Notamacropus eugenii: one gene and its partners. The protein of the gene in region 1 interacts with the protein of each later gene in a pairwise test. Links are inferred from orthologs where the notes say so. Each region holds a gene or a part of one and is shown in the gene's direction. Other genes may lie near its edges. The genes, in order: TFCP2, ZCCHC10 and CA1.

What was found.
Region 2: the proteins of TFCP2 (region 1) and ZCCHC10 interact in binary tests that used the Homo sapiens proteins (3 or more experiments, as listed by UniProt). The two-hybrid records come from large-scale screens. The link is inferred for Notamacropus eugenii from reciprocal best matches to the Homo sapiens genes TFCP2 and ZCCHC10.
Region 3: the proteins of TFCP2 (region 1) and CA1 interact in binary tests that used the Homo sapiens proteins (3 or more experiments, as listed by UniProt). The two-hybrid records come from large-scale screens. The link is inferred for Notamacropus eugenii from reciprocal best matches to the Homo sapiens genes TFCP2 and CA1.

Annotation. Positions count from the first base shown.
Region 1 is NC_092874.1:223,523,922-223,531,163, reverse strand, and holds the start of TFCP2 (alpha-globin transcription factor CP2), read left to right. Parts: upstream 1-3,800; 5' UTR 3,801-4,114; coding exon 4,115-4,236; intron 4,237-7,242.
Region 2 is NC_092872.1:345,604,097-345,611,338, reverse strand, and holds the start of ZCCHC10 (zinc finger CCHC domain-containing protein 10), read left to right. Parts: upstream 1-3,395; 5' UTR 3,396-3,465; intron 3,466-4,072; 5' UTR 4,073-4,119; coding exon 4,120-4,160; intron 4,161-7,242.
Region 3 is NC_092875.1:317,601,832-317,609,073, reverse strand, and holds the start of CA1 (carbonic anhydrase 1), read left to right. Parts: upstream 1-3,011; 5' UTR 3,012-3,082; coding exon 3,083-3,119; intron 3,120-3,579; coding exon 3,580-3,777; intron 3,778-6,365; coding exon 6,366-6,484; intron 6,485-7,242. UniProt on the Homo sapiens protein: Catalyzes the reversible hydration of carbon dioxide. Can hydrate cyanamide to urea.

The DNA of each region.
Region 1 (7,242 bases):
TAAAATATAATATGCATTAACTTTTTAGACTTGGAATAACCAAGCTGCCATTCCATTCTTCCTGGACCATTTCTCTATAGCAATCAATGAGATCCCTCCTATAGATCTGTATCAATCTAGAATCTAGATTAAATGGGAGACAGAATGAGTAGAAGGGGGCACTTCCTGTGGGACAGGCCTTGATCTAATCAGGGAATAAGGAAAGGAGCAGACCCTTCATTCACTTAATGAAAGGCCTTTTTGTCCTAACACCTACCTTTCCAAGGGGCTTTCCCCAAGGGTCTGAAAAGGGCTCCAGAGAAAAATAATATTTCTTAATGTTTCTAAAGCAACTAAAAAGGAGGTTTTTAAATATGTTTTCAAATCAGATTAAAGTTTTAGACTAAGAGAAGAGACATGGGAAATTACTCTGAAATATGAGATTTATGAAAATTTCAGTATGGCTCTCTTGATGGTTACATATCTTTCCTCCATTTGAGAATCCTCTAACTCTTCATCAATATCCTGACTTTTAGGGGCTGGCCACGTGACTTTTAAAATGCAGTAAAGTAAATAACAATAAAAGCATTGTTACAGAGGAAAACTATAAAGAAGCTATTCTATCCAATCATCTACCCTGACAACCTCCTCCTAAGCTCATTGAAGGGCCAAAGAATAAATTTTGTGTTTGGAATTCACTAAGTTCGGTTCTACAAACAAATGAAGAAAATGGTGTTAAGCACCAGGATTCATGGCAGCCGATTTCAGAATACCAGCAAGGCTGGTCTCTCACCCACACAATGACTAGTCTTGTCTAGCATTGCTCTCTGGCCACAACAATTCCTGGGTCTGTCTATTCTCTGTTCTAATTTTCTATACTACAAGTCTCCAAAATTTGTCCCAGTTTATCTTTTATCATGCTCACCTTAAGTTGTATCAGCAAAGGTTGCAGAAGAAGAAACTAGTTTCAGCTTGTCTGACTCACCCAGAACTCTTAATTTTGTAAGCCTTGGTAAGTTCTTGGCCACATGGAAAGAATGACATGGAATAGTAGACCAAAAGTCTCTCTCCATAGCAAAATCTAACATCAAGCAACAGGGCAGGATCAAGTGATATGACCTCATGTGACATCTTGTTCCATTTCTCAACATCTGCTTTCATCCTTGTCACAAATTCATTTGAAGGCAATACTGCTTTCGATATCCTGAGGACTGTAGCATCTCTGGTGACTTCTCAGGCTCTCATAGGGATGAAATTTTGAAAGGCAAGTTACACAGGGAAGGTGTTTCATCTGATATTTTTTTCATAGATATGAATGATTTTCTAGGAAACATCATCTTGATCACCATAAAGATCAAGAAAATTAAGTTGAAAATGTCTTCCTGAAGCCCATCATGTCAGTTCTGTATCAACATTCTGAATCTGGGTAAAGCCTGAAGATAAAGGATAGCCTCTCTATTGTTTCTAGAAGATTTCATTCCTTGGGCATGCCACTGAACAAAAATAAGAGTTCTGCCCTCAAAACCCTAGGAGGATGGAAGGAGTGAGAAGATGACTATGTTTGATTATTGACTTCCAAAAGGAAGGAAGGAAATAAACATTTATTAAATGTCTACTATATGCTAGGCATTGTGCTAAGCACTTTATATTAGGGACTATTTCATTCTTAACCATTCTGTGCAGCAGTACACGTCACACCATAAGTAGATGATAGTACCTTGCCATTGTCCAAATAAGACTATACTACTACTGACCTAAACTTAATCATCTATACATTAAAAAAAAAAAAACTTTTAGAAGATTTTTAGATAACAATCATTTCCATTTCTTTTTATATATAAAGAACAGAATACTAGTATGCTAGTTTCTGAAAGGTCTTGGGATCTCAGTTCTTTTCATTGTGGGACACTTCACTCATTCCTTGAAGCTCCCCTACTTTAAAGGTTGAATCATAGAATGTTAGAATTAGAAAGAACTTTCAGAGATCATCTAGTCCAGGGTTCGTAACCTTTTTTTGTTTCAGGAATTCCTTTGACAATCTGGTGAAATCCATGGATTCAGAAGAATGCTTTTAAGTACATAAAAATAAAATACAGAATTATAAAGGACACGAATTATATTTCAAGTTATGAAAATATTTAAAAAAATACAAACAAGTCCACAGATCTTCAGTTAAGAACCTCTGATATACTACAACCTTTCCATTTTCCAGATGAGGAAACCGAGACACAGAGAAGCTTGAACATCACACAGAAAATTAGTGAGAGGCAGAACCCCTATCTTGTTGTTTGAGGTTGGGGTAGTACAGTAGGAAGCACTCTGGAGTCAGAGCACCTAGGACCAAGCTTTGCCTCTACCTGGGTGACCAGGACTGTGTGACTTTCTAGCCCCAGAGTTCTTATGATCTCCTGATTTGTATAGCTAATTGAGTTACCCCACCATACCTCCACCTGCGCTGAGCCTAGAGCTTCTTTCCTTGGGAGGTTTGAAAGCTGGGACCATAAACATAGTATATAAAGGTAGGTTCTCACTCTTTTTTGTCAGGTTGCTTTGGCAGTCTGGTGAATCCTGTGAACTCCTTCTCATAAAATGTAAAAATGCACCCAATAAAATGCACAGGACCACAAGAGAAATCTAGGGCTGCCTCCTTTGGTCCACACAGCAACCCTGCGCTATTATAACACACTTTTACAGATGAGGAAACTGAGGCTGAAGGAAGTCAAGTGACCCTTCTTGGGTCAGACAGCTGGAAAGAGCCTGAGGCAGGATTTAAATATCCAGAGTATTACAAGTGCTGCGTGCCAGGAACTGTGCTAAGCGTCTTTACAATTACTGTCTCATCTGATCTTCACAATAATCCTGCAAGGTAGTTGTTATTATTATCACCCCCATTTTACAGAGGAGGAAACTGAGGCAAACAAGGGTTAAGCGACTTGCGCAGGGTCACACAGCCAGCGTTTAAGGCATGATTTGGACGCACGTTTTGCTCACCCCAGATCCAGGACTTAAGTCACTGTGAGCAACCTAGCTGCCTAGGTATAAAAATGTTTAAAAGACAAACAAAGTTCACGGATCTTAGGTTAAGAATGCTGAGGGCCAGGCTTGGGAGGGCTTATGACCCGCAGAGGGAAGATTAAGGTAGAGAAAGATAAAGCGTAGCGAGGAGGAGCGAGAAGGACCTGGACCGACTGAGCGGGTACCCAAACTCAGCGCTCTCTTCTCAAACCCCCTTAGTCCCGCCCCCGAAGGCGGAGAACTGGGGAGAAACTGCCAATCTCTGCCGCAGAGAGTGATAGCCACGCCCCCTCATTGGGGAGAGCCTAGAGACGTCACGGGAGCTGAGGCGGTCCCACTCCGAGGGACCCACTAGGATTGGTTAGCCGGGCAGCGGTGGGTGTTGAGGCGGAGCAATGATTGGCGGGGAGTGGGGGGTGCTGCGAGGCGGGCGGCGGGGTGGGGCCTCGGCAGGGCTGAGTTTTGAGGCGAGCCCTGGCGGTCCTTCTCCACGCTTTGTGCTGTAGGGGGAGGGTTTAGGGGTTTGGCTGGGTGAGGGTGGGGGTGGGAAGTGAGCGGGGACAACTCCTAAGAAATTTATTCTAACTTTAGTTCTGAGGGGACCTCTGGGTCGGGGAAGGGTGACCGGAAGCGAGACTAGGACTGACCGGAAGTTAGGCCTGTGGAGGGGGAAGAGGAGAGAGCAGGCCGCTAGGGGTGGGATACTTGTGGGGAGGGTAGGGGGTGGGGTGGGTGGGGAACCGGGAGACCCGTGGGTAGATCTGCCCGGGGGCGTGGGCCGGGCCCAGAGGCCTTGGACTGGCTGCTGCTGGGGGCGGCACCGCGGCTGGGCGATCCCGGATCTGAGTGTCTGCGCCCTGGCTGTGCGCTGGAGGAGCCCCGAGGGGTCTCGCCGCTTCCCCCGAGCCAGGGACCAGGCAGGGGGGCCCAGACTCCCGGGAGGGGCAGGTCAGGGCCGAAGGCGGGCTGTGGAGGTCCGGGTGGGCGTGTGCGAACTTGCCTTTAGCCGCGGCTCGGGGGGCGGAGTTGCAGCCCCGCCGCCCGGGTCGGTGCTCGCGGAGCCCCTGCCTAGCGCGAGGAAGACCGCCGTCTCCAAGGGGGCACTGTGGAAGGAGGCAGCATGGCCTGGGCCCTGAAGCTACCGCTCACCGACGAGGTGATCGAGTCCGGGCTGGTGCAGGACTTTGACGCCAGTCTGTCCGGGATCGGTCAGGAGCTGGGCGCGGGGGCCTATAGTATGAGGTGAGTGACCTGGCCCCGCGGGCCAGGCCTTGGTGGGGTTTGGGTGGTCTGGGTAACAAAAGGTCTCCCTGAGAAAGTGTCTTGTAGGTGAGAATGGTAGAGATGTTTTGGGTGTGGGTGCTCTAACTTGGGTCTGCACTGTTCTCTCCTCTCCCTCCTCCCCTTTCCCCCCCTCCTTTTTCCTTCTCTCCATGTATTTCTCCTCTTTTCCCTCTTCTCCACCCTCTTTTTCTTCCCTTCGCTCTCTTCTCTCCCATCTTTCCCCTCTACCCCCATCTCCCTCCCTCCCACCCCCTCCCTTCCCCCCTGCTTTGGGTGCTAGAGGTAAAGGAAAAAGTGAAGAAAGGTTATTCGGAAGTTCCCTGCATCTTGCACGAGGGAGGTCTTAATCAGAATGCAGAAATGGATGGTTTTGCGGTTTAGTGGGGCAGTGCCGAGTGTCCGTGTACTTCGTTAGTAGAGCTGGGTTTGGGGCTTACGTGCAGGTGCTGCTGGACGGCTGGACACAAAGTAACTTCTTAACGAGTACTTGTTGAAAGGGAACGGAAGGCGTGCTACACCCTAATGAAAGGCATTTCATTTGCCTGAGGGTAGGCAAATTCTGTTCCGTGTGTAATTCACAAAAATATTTGCCAATATATTTTGTTTTCATTATCACTGTACCCCTCCCCCAAACCCTCCCAGAGAACCATCCCTTTTAACAAAGAATGAAAAGAGTTCATCCAAACTAGCCAACGTATCCCCCCAAAATCTAGCTTTTTGTGCAGTGGTCTCCCCCACCTCTGCACAAATGCACAAAAGAAAAAGCATGGGGGAGGCCAAACTTGGTCATTGTAATTTTATGCTATAGTTATATTACTGAATTGTAATTCAGTTTCAATTACTTTGTTCTTTCCATTTTCATTGTTGTTATGTATATGGTTTTCCTGGTTCAGCTTCACTTTTTATCATTTTGTCTTTCCAACACTTCTTCATATTTATCATCCTTGTCATTTCTTACAGCATGGTGATATTCTATCACAGTTATGTATTGCAGTTTGTTTACCATCACCTGGTCTGTAAATGTTCTTGTTTCCAGTTCTTTGGTACCACAAAAAGTGCTGCTGTAAATATATTATTGTATACGAGACCTGTCTTGATCTGCTTGAGCTATTTGCCTAGCAGTGGACCATGTCTAATTAAGAATTATATCTGTGTTTTCGAGTGATGGAAGCTCCTTAAGGAGCAGGTCTGTTTTGGCTTCAATCTTTTTATCCATAGTACCTGGTATGTAGTAATTGTTTCGTACATGCTTGTTGAATAAATGAAAGATTAGCATTTTGCTTTTCCTCATGAAATATTCTTTTACTTATTTCTTTCTCAACCAAGAAAGCATTTATTAAGTGATTTCGGGCACTGGAAATAAGAAAACAAGCAAAACGGTCCTTTTACTCATGGAGCTTATATTATAATGGAAGAAATAACAGGGGTACACATACATTCAAAGCAGTTTTGTGGAGAAGGCACTAACAGTTGGGGGGATGAGGAAAAGTGGGTCTTGAAGGAAACCAGGGATCCTTAGAGACCAAGGTAAGGAAGTGGTCAGACAGATGAGCAGTCAGTGCAAAGACATTGTGATGAGAAATGGAGTGGGGAGTATGAGGAATAGCAAGAATACATGTGAACAGTAAAGTGTAACTACGGTGAGGCTATTGCGGTAGTGAGGTGAGAGATGATGAGGGTTTGAACCCAGCGATGGTTGTGTGAGTGAAGAGAAGGGCAATGGGTGCAGTAGATACTGTGGAAGTAGAAACATTGCTTGAAAACTAATTGGATTCATGAAGCAAGTAAGACTTGAGCTTGATGTGCCCTTGAGATGCCCAGTTTAGAATGGGCACTCAGCACTTGGTGATGTGGCATTGGAACTCAAGAGAGAGACTAGGGTGGAATATATATACAGATACGCGTGTATGTATATGTCAAATGCACACATAGAGGTGATGATTAAACCCACACGATCTCTGACATTACCAAATAAAAGAAGTAGAGAAGATGGCCTAGGGTAGAGGGAACAGTTAAAGGCAGTGATGTGCTTCACAATCCACATCATTAGATATAAAGAAGACTGACACATAAGAGGAAAACCAGGAGAGAAGTTTCTCACATGAAAATCCAAAGAGAAGAAAATATCCAGGAAAAGAGGGTGTTCACCAGTGTTGAGTCAAATGAAGCCAAGAGACTGAGAGGGATGAAGGTTGAGAAAAGACTAAGAGTTTTGATTTAAAAGATCTTTGGTAACTTACGAGAGAACAATGTCAATTGATGATGCTGTCCAAACCAGAGCTAGATTGCAGAGGGGGGGAGAGGAGAGGAAGTGGAGTTAAGGAGTATAGATAATTTTTTCTATGAGTTTGGCTGACAAAGAGAGGGAAGATGTAGGAAGATAAGTAGGATCTCATGAGGTTTGTTTTTTTCAGCATATTATTATTGTAACCATCTGTAAATTGTTCTCCTTGGTTTGCTCATTTTGTTATATCTCAGTTTGTATGTTTCCATATTTCTTTAAATTGATCAGTCTTCACTTCTTATGGTGCTATACAATTTCACTTTGAATTTCACTTTGATATACCACAGTTTGTTTGGCCATTCCTCAATTGGTGGGCACCATTTTGTTTACTATTCTTTACTACAACAGAAAGTGTTGCTATAATGATAATAGTAACTAACTTCTTTAATATATTGACTTATTTAAGGTTTGCAAAGCACTTTACAAACATCCCATTTTATCCTCACAACAACCATGAGAGATAGGTACTGTTATTATCCCCCTTTTTTGCACGAGTAAAATGAAGCAAAGAGGTGAAATGACTTGCCCAGGGTCACACAACTGATAATTATATGAGGCAAGATTTGAATTAGGTCTTTCTGACTTCAAGGCCAGAGCTCTATCCACTGTGCCTCTTAGCCACTGTAAATATTCTTGTTCATATGAGTCCTTTTCCTCTTTCCTTGACCTCTTTTGATTGG
Region 2 (7,242 bases), on another chromosome or scaffold:
CCTTCAGCTGCCACTTTTGTTGAATGGGAATGTTCAGCTTGGAAATACACAAGAATGAGGCTTAAGCCAATGGCATTAGAGAAAGACATCCCCAGCTTCTACCCTAGAACCTTGAGAGGAGAGATACTTTGGGAGGAGTCCCAAGTATTGCTGTTCTTATAAGAAATACAGAATGAAAAAATTAGAACCAATGTATATATACTGACTATAGCTATGTAAAAGCAACAAACCTGGAGAAAAAGAAAAGGTTCACGGGAATAATAGGATGATATTGTCATTATATCGTAAACTTTCTAGACAAACTTTAGATGCCTTCATGTAAATCATTTTAAAGTCATTTGATTATTTGAATGTTACTGTTTCTTAATATTTACTAAATTTACAATTCTCTTTTAGCCATTTTTTAATTTTATTTTTAATGCTCATTTAAAAAAATTTTGAGTTCCAAATTCTCTCCCTCTCTGCCACCTCTTTCCCCATTAAAAAGGCAAGAAATGTGGTATCAACTATACATGTGAAATCATGTAAAACCTATTTCCATATTAGCCATGTTGCAAAAAAAAAAAGGCAAGAAAAAATAAAGTGAAAATATGATGCTTCAATCCACATTCAGACTCCATTAGTTCTTCCTCTGGAGGTGTATATCATTTTTCATCATAAGTCCTTCCAAATAGTCTTGGATCATTGTCTTGCTCAGAGTAGCCAAGTCATTCACAGTTCTTCATTGTACAATGTTGCTGTTACTGTGTAGCTTGTTCTCCTGGTTTTGTTCATTTTTCATTATCTCGTTTAAGTTTTCCCAGATTTTTTTCTAAAAATATCCTGCTTGTCATTTCTTATAGCACAATAATATTCCATCGCAAAACTATGCCACAACTTGTTCAGCCATTCCCCCATTGATGAGCATCCCCTCAATTTCCAATTCTTTGCCACCACTGAAAGAGCTGCTACAAATATTTTTGTACATTTAGTTCCTTTTCCTTTTCTTTTGATCTCTTTGGGATACGGATCTAATAGTGGTATTGCTGGGTTAAAGGGTATACATGTGAACTTACAATTTTCTAAAAAGAAATAGCAAGTGACAATGTTGAAGAAGCAAATGGGGGAAAAATTATGTTTTTATTTTCACCAACCTCTAACTGAAAAATAGCATTTCCTTGGATTGTAAATTTAAAAAAAAAACTATTCCAGGAGTCCACAGGCTTCATCAAAAGAAGTCAAAGAAGTCCAGGATAAAAAGCAAAACAAAAAATAGCCAAACAAAGGTAAAGAAACTCTATTGTTTCTCTGTAAAAGAATCTACAGGTCCCTTTGAAATCTTTGCTTGTTTTAAAAAGGATTAATTACACAGTTTTGCAACAAGTTTGTCAGTTATTGAGATTGCTTTTCATTTTCAACTGTACTTTCCTTTTCTGTTTCATTGTAAGCTCTGATGATCTTTGAAACATTTGATTCCCCAATAGCCGCTACAATGTTTCCAGTGGTCATGGAAACGAACTTTCTTTCTAAGAGTTACTCTTTTGTACATTTCCTTGGAGTAATATCTATTCTTTAAAACCACAGAATTAAAAACACAGCAAAAAAAAGAACAATGAAACACTAGTGTATCCAACAGTCAACTGATAAAGAAATAAGTAAAGGTTTTGGAAACCAGATCAATCTAGTTTCATCTGGTCAAGGTCATATATTCCGAGTCAGTCTGGTATCAGAGAAAGAATACAAGCATTACTAGTACTGTCAAAAAGTGAAACCATATCAAAATTCACTTACCACTGTTTATGTTTGTCTATACATATAGATGTATTCTGTACATGCCTGCATGTGTATAACTTATCTCCCCTTAGAATGTAAATTATTTGAATTCTGGGACAGCTTGCTTTTGTCTCTGAATACCAGCACTTAACCTTGTGCTTGACGCATAGCAAGGCTTAATAAATGCTTTCTAATGTAGAGGAAATGTACAAAACCTATGTGCTGTATTGGGAAAATATCTCCCCAGAAATACCCTTAGAGTTCAAAGAACATACTCTGAAGAGTTGTATAAAGACAGACCCTCATTCTGATTTCTTCTCAAAGGAAAGACTTCACTAACCATAGATCTTCAGTCTCATCTAGATTTTCCGATGATCTGATGAGATTAACTACAGGAAAACACCCCTACCTAAAACAAATCTGATTTGGGGCTACACCAAGGTTACTGAAAAATTAAGACATTACCTATACCTGTTGAGGTTTATGGATGCTCAGGATCCCCAAATACCGACATGCCAGGTCCTGTCCAAATGAGTTCAACTCAAGCCTTCTTTCAGCCAAAGAAAAACTAAGTTTAATATCTGCCATATTGGGTAGATTTAAGGAATCTGAGTATTTGTGACGCTTGTATTGATAAGCAAGTCTGACAGAATCTGGGTTAGATTGAATATGAGCGCCTTCATGGAGGCAAAATGCATCTTATATACAAAAAGATTGTGAGTGGAATCTAGGGTTGTCCAAGTAGTCTGGGGGAACTAGAGTAAGGATTTAGGGAGGGTTTTGAAGAAGAGTCTAAGGAGGAGCTTGATAGAACTGGGGTGACTAGAGGTCAGAATCAAGAGAATGGGATTTTGATAGGATCAAGGCTGGGAGGTAGCCAGAGACAATCTGGAGGTAACAGACAATGGAGGGCTAGCCTATGTTAAGGGTAACAGATTTGGGCATGAAAAGCCAGATCAAGTGGAAAGATTCAAGGAGAATTCAAGGGGGTTCCCAGAGTCTATACCCCATCACACCCAGAAACAAATTACCTAACTTCCTGTCCCTATTACTCAACCTCAGAAATAGGGAAAGTGACTGAGCAGCCTCACCTAATAGACTCCTTTTGCTACCTGCCCTAAAGTTGTGTAAAACTGTGTAAAGTTGTGTGTAAAAAAAATGTGTGTATCTTCCTCTATTCTTAGGAGTTGTTGGTCACTTGGCAACTACCCATCAGCTAATGCTAATTAAACTCTATCCTCTAACCTTGCCTCTAGATGTATTGACTTTCAGTCAAATGGATTTAGGTAGGAGAAATTATTCTCCAGGATGAATTTAGGATCCCTGGGCTAATACGTTTGATTTAAGGTTGGATTAGAGGCCATGATGGTGCATGTGAAAAACTTAAAAAACATCCTGGGATGCTTTCCTCTTTCTTTTTACCCCAGACACTGGAAAGAATTACAATTTTCGGTTCAAGTCATGGGGAGGGGAGTAGGGGAAGAGATATGTGGGGACATGCCCATTCTGTCTGGAGTTTAATAACTTACACTAATAATAGGATAAGTTGGAACGCTAGGAGTGTGGAGGGTGGAGAGGGCAACACACCCCAATAAGGGAGGAGCAGTGGTTACAAGATACACCCCATGGGAGGGAGGAGGAGAAATAGAAAGAGGGTAGAGAAGAGGAAGAAGGCAACACTGGACGCCCAACTGCCCCACCACTAGATTGTCGGTACGTAGCCTCGGTCTAGGAAGGCAGAGAAGAGGGATCAGAGAGAAGGGAAGGTTAAGTAGGATTGAGCTCCTCCCTTTTGCTACCAATTACGCGGTTTTTGGATTTGTGTGGAACTCCCCATCACTCTCGGAAGCCCGGGACACGCCCCTACAGAGGAGGGAGGGAGAGAAGACCGGCCAGGGGTGGAGGATGGACAGTGACAATGGAGTGAATAGAGCAGAGGGAGGGACATATAGGACACGCCCCCTGAGGGGAGGGAAAGAAGATAGGACACGCCCCTTGTCCCAGGAGCTCTGCCCCCTTCCCCTCCCTTCTGGGACCAAACTGACAGGTTTGAGTTTCCACTTCCAGAACCCATTAAGTGTCTTCCCAGTTTTCATTTCCCCCAAAGCACGGCAACGATGCCCAGGATTCTGGGTCTGGAAGCCAGGGTTGGCCGTCTGTCTCCCCAAGGAGGGCTCAGGCGGATAATATCCCCGGTGTCTACTTCAAGTCCTCCCAGGCCCCGGAGGAAGACTGCGTCCACCAATGCGAGGCCTGGCTGCCCCTCTAGCCACAGCTAGTCCCGTCTCTATGACGTCTAATGAGTTCTAGTTCCACCTAGGGGGAACTTCCCAGGATGCATCGCGGCGGTCCCCGGTTCTCGCTGACATGGCGACTCCCATGCATCGACTTATCGCTCGGAGGCAGGCGTAAGTGAGCACCCCCGGCGGCGTAGGGATTTTTCCATTCTATTTCCCGTAGCCAACCTAACTTTCTTTGAGGACCCTCAACGGCCCTGGGAAGTGGGGTTCCCTCTCTTGGGGGGGCATTGAATGGGGTGAGCCAAGGGGGTGGAAAGGGAGACAACCTAGATGTTGTGGGCCCCGGGAAGAGGGAGAGTGGCCTACGTCGGAGAGCCCCCGGTAGGCAGCTTGGGGAGGTGGAGCGCGGGAGGCCTCCCTTTAGCAAGGGAAGGAACGTCCGAGTTTTTCCAGATAAGAGTGACGTGAGCAGATCTTCGGTGGTTACTGAAACAAATGTCTTTGTACACCCCTGTCAACACTACTGTTGGCTCCAGTCCGCGGCTTTACAACTTGTCATTATTTTCTTTTCATCTTCTCTCACTTTATAGAGGATGATGGAAAAAAATCCCTAATTTAGAGCTTTTTTAAAGCAGGGAAAATTACATGAGGAATGTGCTTGTTAGCTTCAGTTGCCCTATTTATGATTCACAAAGCAAATGTACTATTGAGGATTCTAATATTTAACAGTAGGTAAAGGATAAGGGCTCACGAAGAGTCGAACACGACTGAAAATCGACTAAACAGCAACAAAGGATGTGATCGTGGGAAATAAATATCAGTTCGGTAAACCCAGAAAAAATAATTTGTAGATCCTTGGAGTCTCATTCTAAAAGAATAGAACTTGAAGAAGCTGTAAGATTCTTAAAAAGTTAGTATCGCTTTTTAAAAACAAATATGAGTATTCTGATCATTATGTAAATTGTAGACTTAGGAAGTTTTATTATTATTATACACATAAATCTTGTATGAAAGAAGTAAACATAACTATTTTCCTTTATCATATTTTGACAAATGTAAATAGTCTCATTAAATTTATTTTGGGGAGCTTTTTGTTTTTTGTTTTTCATTGTGTAAGTACGACAAAATATGCGCAAGTATAAAGTTGTACCTGTTGAATAAGTGGGCAGAAAGTTTACAAATAACACTTATTTGGAATTGAAATAAGTTAAAATGTAGTCATACTTTATTTACTGTCACTGTACTTCCAGAACTTGAATTGGAACTTTAACTTGAAAAAATACTCCTCTTTTTTGTATTTAAAGGACGCATTATAAGTCATAAAGGTCAAGTCAACAAGCATTTATTAAGGGAAGGGTTAAGAAATCCTGAATGGTAACACTATTTTTTGGGGGGGTTGGTTTGTTTTCAGTTCTGTCTGACTCTTCCTGACCCCACTTGAAGTTTTCTTGGCAAAGATCCTGGAGTGGTTTGTCATTTTCTTCTCCACTTTATTTTACAGATGAGGATTGAGGCAAACAGGGTTAAGTGACATGCCATGTTAAGTGTCACACAGCTAGTGAGGTTGAATTTGAACTCAGGAAGATGAGTCATCTTGACTCCAAGCCCAATGCTCTATCCATTGCACCCCTAGCTGCCATAAACCTTAGTCTTTTCAGGACTATCATTCCTAAAACTAGGATATTATTCAGTGTTCTTTTAGCTCATATTGTTCTAGCTCACACAGGCTCACACTATATTATCACAGTTACTTGAAAAGAAGCTCAAAATTTCCAATAACATGATATAGGGCAGGCAACAGTAGGGACCAGCTTGGGCCCTAATCTTGGCTACCACCAAACCTATTCCAACTTCAGCTTAAATATAGAAAAATTTTTCTGGCTTTTTTAGGGTTAGCTTCTAGACTCAAACCAAGTTTGTTGGGCCGTGTAATTAAACTGTTATATGCTAAGTTCAATTTTATATACTATAACGTGAAGGACAAAAAAAAAATACAGGGTATAGTCCTTATTCTTTAGGTATTTACCATATCAAAAATTTTTAAGCAAATAATATGTATTAATAATTAGTAATATATTATCAGATGTTTGTGTAGTTCAGATATGCACTCTAGGAATTCAGGAAATTAAAAGATTTAGCTAGTATAAAAACATTGGGCTCTCAACTGAGCTTTGGGTGAGAAATGGAATTTAGATTGGTAGAGATGGGAAGGTAAGCCATACAGGAACAACAGTTTGAATAAATGAAAACACATGTGAACTTGGCTTGTATGGGAACCAGTAATTGGATTAGCCTGATAAGAATGATGGGAAATGGAGTTTTCTAAGTTAAATGGGTTCCACTGTTAAAGGCTGTTTCAGAGGAAGAAGGGATGAAATTTTAGAAAACTGTATGAAAACTCCAAAACTTAAAAATTTACTCATTTTGATAGCTGGATAGATCAATAGATCTCATTTATGTTGGTATTCCCTTCACCAGTGCAGATTGCATACCTTCTTTTCCTAAATAATTCTTTCCTGTACTTTAATACTTCAGTGAATTTGTATTCTGCTTGATGCGGGTAACCCTCCAGAATGCAGATCATAACTGTTAATGCCCTCTCATTATGTGTAACTCTTATCCATGTCATCCCACAAATCTTCTATAGGAGTTCCATGAAATGTTTAGGGGCTTTCCCTTAAATCTCCTGTTGATTCATGGATACCAATGCCGTACATCAGTCATCCATCCCTTGCTCTCTTGACATGACTTGCCCATCTTTTCTTTCTAATGGCTTCTTTTAAAGATCCTCATCCATGTCTTCCACAGGTGTTCTTTTGAGGGTCTGCCTAATGTAATGAAAGCTTTTTTCTAGATCTTTTAATATTTCATGAATATCATTATAGTGCATAGTGTCCGTTATTTCTCACTCTCCCAACATTAGTAGCTTTATTCCTTCTAAATCATACATTTACTTGATAATCTTTCATGACATTTTTGTGTGCAAGTCATCATTGGCAATATCCTACTATCTATTTCAGAAAAATCTTTTTCAATTAAATATTTATTAATGCCAGCAACATGAAAGGGATTATTCTTAGTATCAGATATTTTAAAAAAACAGCCCTTACCTTCATGGAGCTTACCTTCTTCTGGAGGAAGATACAAGATAATTTGATAAGGGAAAGGCATAAACAGCTGGGGGAGTCAGGGAATATTTTACTGATGAGGTGCCATCTGAGATAAATCTTGAAGGAAGACAAAGATTCTG
Region 3 (7,242 bases), on another chromosome or scaffold:
AGTTAAAATGATTTCTTGAGTAAGGTTCCATCTAAATGGAATCAGTTTAGAAGGGTGACAGGAAACTGGAGGAGGGAGTCTACGGTAAGGGAACAGCCATAAGGGATTTTCATCTTCCTTGCTAAAGAGAGCTTGTCCATCCATTTGGGGCTTAGTTAATCCTGGGGTCTATTAGACAGTTGTTTATATCCCAGTACACATATCATCATTTTGAATTATCTGATTTTCTAGAATCAATACCACTTCCCTAAAGACAAAAGGAAAACATTTTTTAAATTTATGGACAAAATATTCTGCTGAGCACTGTGCATCTACCCATGAAGGGTACTGTGTTCTCATTAAGCCTCATGACAATTATCTGAGAAAAGTTACAAAGAAGTATTTCCCTCACTTTAAAGATAACCAATCCAAGGAAAAAACAGGCATAAATAATTTGCCAAGGGACAGCCAGTCATTTATAGAAGAGATACTGGATTCCTAGATTAATGGCTCCCATCCTACATCCTCCTAATGATAAGGTCTTTCTAACCAGCAATTCCAGTTAGTATTTTGTTTACAATATAGCTCTTTAAAAATTATGAAATCCTACGTAACTTAGCAATATCTCCAACAGAGACTGCTTATGTAAATTGACAAGGTAATGAGCTATTAAAATAATTTATTTGGTTGGCTGAAAGTTTTTCTACTTGAAAAATATGTAAACACTAAAGGAAAAACACAGAAAGGCATAATGGATGATAATAGTAAGTATTAGCATTTATAAAGCACTTTAAGTTTCGTAAAGCACTTTACAAATATTATCTCATTTAATCCTCATAACAATCCTGGATGGAAGGTGTTATTACTGTTCCCATTTTACAGATGAGGAAAACTGAAGTAGTGAGAGGTTAAGTGATTTACTGAGGGACATTTGCCAATAAGTCAGAGGTGGGATCTGAACCCAGGTCTTCCTAATTCCAAGACTAACACTTGATTTATTGGGCAAAGTCCAACAGTATCATTTTACAGATAAAGAAAACTGAGACCTCAGGAAGTGACCTGACTTGACTAGTTAGTGAAGCTAAGGAATAAATTATTCCTAGTAGAAATGATTCAAATTTCAGTTACTCATCGATTCCCTGCTTTGTCCCTGTTTTTCTGTGCATCAGCAACAGTTGGGCAAAAGACTTTACATTAATCTTAGTATTTTTGCATTTTTCCCATTCACCTACATGCTCATTAGCCTAAATATGAATAAATGTATATTTCTTTCAGAGACTGCCAACTGGAGAAAGACTTCTTTAAAAAGTGATGACCATATGTATGGACTGAACAGTCAGTTTTGCTCAAGAAAAGCCATGGAAGTCATTTCTCCTGGAGAGCAGGAATGGAAGGAAAGTGGAATTATTATTTTTTGGTTTGCTGATGGATGAGAGCAGAGAACACACATAGAAATTAAATACTTGGAATTTGACAAATTCCAGACAAGACCACGTTCTTTCCAATATATCATGCTAAATAGCAGTAGTAATAGACTTACTCATCTCCCCTCTGAGTATCCTTGGTGCCAAGAAAAGATGGGCTTATCTTTTTAATTGAAAATTCTCTCTTTATTATTATTACATTAATAATATATTAATACTTTTAAACTTGACAATACCCACTACAGAGAGGGAAAGAGAAGAGAATAGTAATAGTCTATCTAACATGTTCCAGCATTCAGCATGATGAAAACAACTGCTTGGTGGCACAGCGTCAGGAAGATCTGAGTTCAAGCCTGCCTCAGACACTTTGTCCTCCAGAACTGCTTCCTTTCCTCCCCCATCATACCAGCGCATTCTGAACTAGAACTTCAGTTCTTCAGGTTCCAGTCTTCTCCCAGTCCCTGCCCTTTCTCTCGTTTTTCTTCTCCCCACAAACTGATCTTCCTAGCCCTGATGACAAGGGGAAGGATGAGCTATCCAAGGAATGCCCTGTGGAGCATCTCTGGAGCATTTCAGAATTCACTCTGTCCACCTCTTCCCTTTCTTTTCCTGGCCTGACTTCAGCTGAAACAGTCTCTGGGTCTCTTCCTCTGGAGCAGCTCTGGGTTGGAGGCTTTGATGACTTGCGCTGTCATTGCTACCAGAAATATCAACTCATTCCCAAACCCCTCTATCCCCAGTGAAGTGGGGAAAAGGAGTACCTCCAGAGGGGCACTCTCTGCCCCCTTACTCAATCAATGGATCTGGAGTCCAAAATCTCCTCAACAACAAAAACAAGCAACTAGCTGTGTGACCTTGGGCAAGTCCCTTAACCTCTCTGAGACTTAGTTTCTTCATCTGTAAAATGAGGGTAATGACAGCCACAGGGTTCTCGTGAAGATCAAATGAGATTATTTAGGTAAAGTGCCTGGTAGACCTTGAAGTGGTATATATTAGCCATTATTACTAAGTGTTTTAAAATCAAAATTATCTTGTAATTGAAAAGTACTACAGAGTTGTAGGGGTCACTAGGTTGCATAGTGGATAAAGTGCCAGGTCTGGAGTCAGGGAGATCCTAGTTCAAATCTGACCTCAGACACTTACTAGCTGTGTGACCCTGAGCAAATCAGTTAACCCTGTTTCCTCAGTTTCCTCATCCATCAAGGTAGCTGGAGAAGAAATGGCAAACCACTCAGTATTTTTGGTAAGAAAAACCTCAAATGGGGTCATGAAGATTCAGGCGTGACTGAAAAATGACTGAACAACAACAAAAGAATTGTAGAGGGTAGTAAAAGTTATATCATGAAATGTAAAGGGGGTAAAGGTTGAGTTGGGTGCTTTTTTTCTTCAGTTAAGATTTCTTTATTATCTATTATAATCACTATAGGGAAGGTAAAATACCCTAAAAATCAGCAGAATTTTGTGGGTGGGTGTGTTTTTTTAAACTGCTCATTTCTTTTTCATTTTACCTGAGTCATGGAAATAAGTCAACAATTCTTGATTATATTGGTACATGTGGAGCTGGGAAGCATCTATAAAAACCACGGGTGGAGGCACAGAATATACATAGGAGAGAGCCTGTGTATGACACTATCAGTCACTTTAGTCACAGCTGTGTTGGTAGAAGAAAACAGAAGGACATGGCGAGCCTGAACTGGTCATATGAGGGAGAAAATGGTGAGCATTCTTCTACCATTCCATATGGGAGGCAGAGCATTTATTCTCTTTTGAACATTCAGTATCTGGTAACATTAAAAAAATGGATTAAGAGTTATAGAGGCCAAGATAGGTGAAATAATATTATTTTTATAATGATAGTAGGTAACCATGGTGGTTCTACAAATTTGCTTGTCTTTTGTTTTCATGAAATGTATTTTATCCAGTTTTGTAAGGTTAGCAGACATTCCATTTTAGCATGAAATAGTGCAAAGAAAAAACATTCTCTGATGCTAGATTTTGACTTACTTGCATGAAATATTTTAAAATATTTGATATAACAAGATATTTAATATAATCTTTATATGTGTTAAGGAAACTTCTGAAAAGTAACAGAGGTAGTTTATAAAAAAAAAAATCAAGTGGAGATTTGCATATTTTTGCATATTTTGCATATGTTTACATATTTTTGTCTTTCTAGGGCCTGAAAACTGGAGCAAACTCTACCCCATTGCTAATGGAAACAATCAGTCTCCTATTGACATTAAGACCAAAGAGGTCAAACATGATGCTTCTCTGAAACCCTTCAGTGTCTCCTACAACCCAGCAACGGCCAAAGAAATCATCAACGTGGGTCATTCTTTCAGTGTAAATTACGAAGACAAAGATAACCAATCAGGTGAGCAAAACCATGCTTCTTCCTCCTTACTTTCCAAGGTAAACAGCAGATCAATCAATCAACCAATATTAATTTAACACCTCCTATTTGCTAAATATTCTGCTAAGTGCTTGATATACAAAGACAAAAGCAAAACAGTGAGGGAACTTGCTTAAATACTCACAGGGGAGACAGCACATATATATATTAGTGTACTAAAAATACATAAAATGTAGATACAAGGTAATCTTAGGGAGAAAGACAGCAGCAGCTGGGGGAACTAAGAAAGTTCTATTGTAGAGGAGGGAGTTTGAGCTGCCTTGAAGAAAACCAGGAATTCCAAGACGTGAAGGGTAAAAGGGAGAGAGAGCATTCTAGGAATGGGGGACAGGTCACTTATGTATGAGAAACAGAAAATAGGCCAGTATGGCTAAAATGGAATGTGAGTTGCAGAAGTCAGTTGGCAGAGTGGGCAAAGTCTTGTACTTAGAGTCAGAAAGACCTGAATTCAAATTCAGCTTTGAACACTAACTTTGTGACCCTGCACAAATCACTTAGCCCATAGCCTCAGTTTCCTCTTCTGTAAAATGGGGATAATAACAGCACCTATCTCTCACAGCACTGTTGTAAAAATCATTTGAGATATGAAAGCACTTAGCAAACCTTAAAGCATTTTATAAATGCTAGCTATTATGGAGGAAAAGGTTATGAAAGAAGACTGGAGGTAAAATATTTTTGAAATGTTTTAAATATCCAACAGAGGACTGTATATTTCATCCTAGAGGTAATAGGGAGAGATCATCCTCATCCTCATCATTCATATAGTGCCTATTTTGTGCCAGGCACTCAGCCAAATGTTTTATAAAGGCTGTTTCATTTGATCCTCAAAATAACCCTGGGAGGTAGATGTTATTATCATATGTATATATATATATATATATATATATATATATATATATAATTTTATATTATTCTTATCCCTATTTCACTGTTGAAGAAACTGAGGCAGATAGAGGTTAGATTTGTCTTGTTAGACTTGTCCAAGGTCACACAGCTAGTAATTGAAGATAAAGCTGAACACAGGTTATTTCTGATACTAGGCCTACATTCCATCTATCGGATGCTAGGCCTACATACTATCTACTGAGCCACCTAGCTACTGAAATAAGGAGCAGGGTGACAGTCTGAGCCTTTAAGGAAAATCACTTTAGAGGTAGTTGGACAACAGATCGGAGTGGAGAGGGAGCCCGATTATGAAGTGATTACAATAATCCAGGAGAAAAATGCAGAGGGCCTGAACTAGGTTGGGTGGATTTATAGGAGAGTTTTTGTAGAAATAGAAACAACAAAATTTGTCAACTCTTTCGATAAATGAGATGGATGAGAATGAGGACATCATAGAGATTGAGAACCTAGGTGACTACAAGGACCAAGTTGCCATCAACAGTAGTGGGAAAGTTGGGTAGAAGGAAGGACTTGGTGGGGGTAGGGGTGGGGGTGGAGAAAGTATAATTAAGAAATACAATAGCCAATTAGAAATATATTTATTCTGTAGCACATTATACACAATGCTAAAAATTATCATAATAAAGTTCTATATAAGGTTAGTCCAGGGATGGGGAATCTGCAGCTTTGAGGCCACATGTGGCCTTCTAGGTCCTCGGGTGCAGCCTTTTGACTGAGTCTAAGTTTTACACATCAAATCCATTTATAAAGGGGATTTGTTCTATGAAATTTGGATTCAATCAAAGGGCTGCACTGAGGACCTAGAGGGCCACATGTGGCCTTGAGGCCACACGTTTCCTACCCTTAGGCTAGTCCTACAAAAAATTATAAAGCTGACAAAACTGGTCTCTTGGGCTCTCTTGTCTTTTCAACTCCACTCAGTGGTCCTTTCTCCCCCTGCACAGAGCTTTGAGTCCATCTATGTATTTTTTTCCTACTTTTCTCCATCAACACCTGCTCTCTAGAAAGGATCTGATTAACCCAACACTAACGGGCATGTGATTAACATGATTTAAAGTATTGCTTTCCTCAGGAAAATCTGCATTTTTAACAAGGCCAAAGAAATAACTTTCTGGTAGTAGAATGTGAAGCATCAGTGACGAGGCCCAGGAGATAATTGTTTTTGGTTCAGGAGTGCTTTTCAGGCACCCCTAAAATCACAACTAAGTAGTTGCCTACTGCAAGATTGGTCTAGGTTCTAGACTTTTTGTACAAGCCTCTCAACATACACTTTAGGTGCATCATTGGCCTTGCTAACAACATTCTTATTGAACATTGGTGCCTGTTTAATTGACATTTGTATAATAGGCAAAAAAAAATTGCAAATAGATGATGGAAGATACAAGCAAATGAATGAACAAATAGATGAAACACATGTTAATCAATTGCTATGTGCAAAGCACTATGATGAAATAATTTTTTATGAAACAACACAAGTCAATAACAAATTAGAGGGATTAGCAATCCCTCAGATCTTTTCTTTTTATCCCCATACTTCATCTACTTCAACTCTACTCCCACTTGAAGTTTTAACCCTGGTCCAACTTCTGCTGATTGGATTGGGGTTTCTAACTTGTAACCAGATGCTTTCTTTCTCATTCTAGTACTAAAAGGAGGTCCACTTGCTGGAAGCTTCAGGCTGCGGCAGTTTCATTTCCACTGGGGGAGTGCCGATGACCATGGTTCTGAGCACACAATAGATGGAGTAAAATATTCAGCCGAGGTAAAATGATTGCAAGAGACATAACAGTATTATGGGAGCAGCTTCTGAGAATTAATCCCCTGGTTCCTCCCACTCATCTCCCAACCCAGCTGAGTAGATTTTTTAAAAGTGAATGCTGTCTCCCTCAATCTATAGAAATCACAGGCAGTGCTTATACATATATATGTGTGTGTGTATATATATATGTATATATATGTATGTGTGTATATATACGTGTATATATACATATGTTATCCTTCAGAGAAAGTAGGATGGTAGATCAATGTTTTGAAAGACCCATGATTTCAATGATGTGACATCATGTCCAAAAATACAGATGAAACTTTTTACCAGACTTACAGAAAATTATTCAATTGGATGATTTTTAAAATATGGTATCCCCTCCAGATACTTTTGAGTATTCCAAAAAAATAGTAAGCAATCAAAAAAAATAACAGAAGTAGGGCACATTAGAATTCGATGTCATTTTATTCAGTAGAAATATCTTACTTAAGGAATTTTCAGAATTTTGAGGAATTACATCACCTAATTTTGGATTGCTTCCTTATCATCCTTTATAGTTTTTTTTAACTCTGAGAACTAGGAGGAGGAATATGTTTTTTAAATCATTCTACATGCCTGATATAAAATTTAATTACTCTTCTAACCCAGCATCTATCTTTAATTTGAATATATCTTTATTTCTTAAATAGAGCAACTATAAGTGAAATATGACCAAGTTTCCTGCTGCATTGTGAACCATAAAGTGATCTTTACAA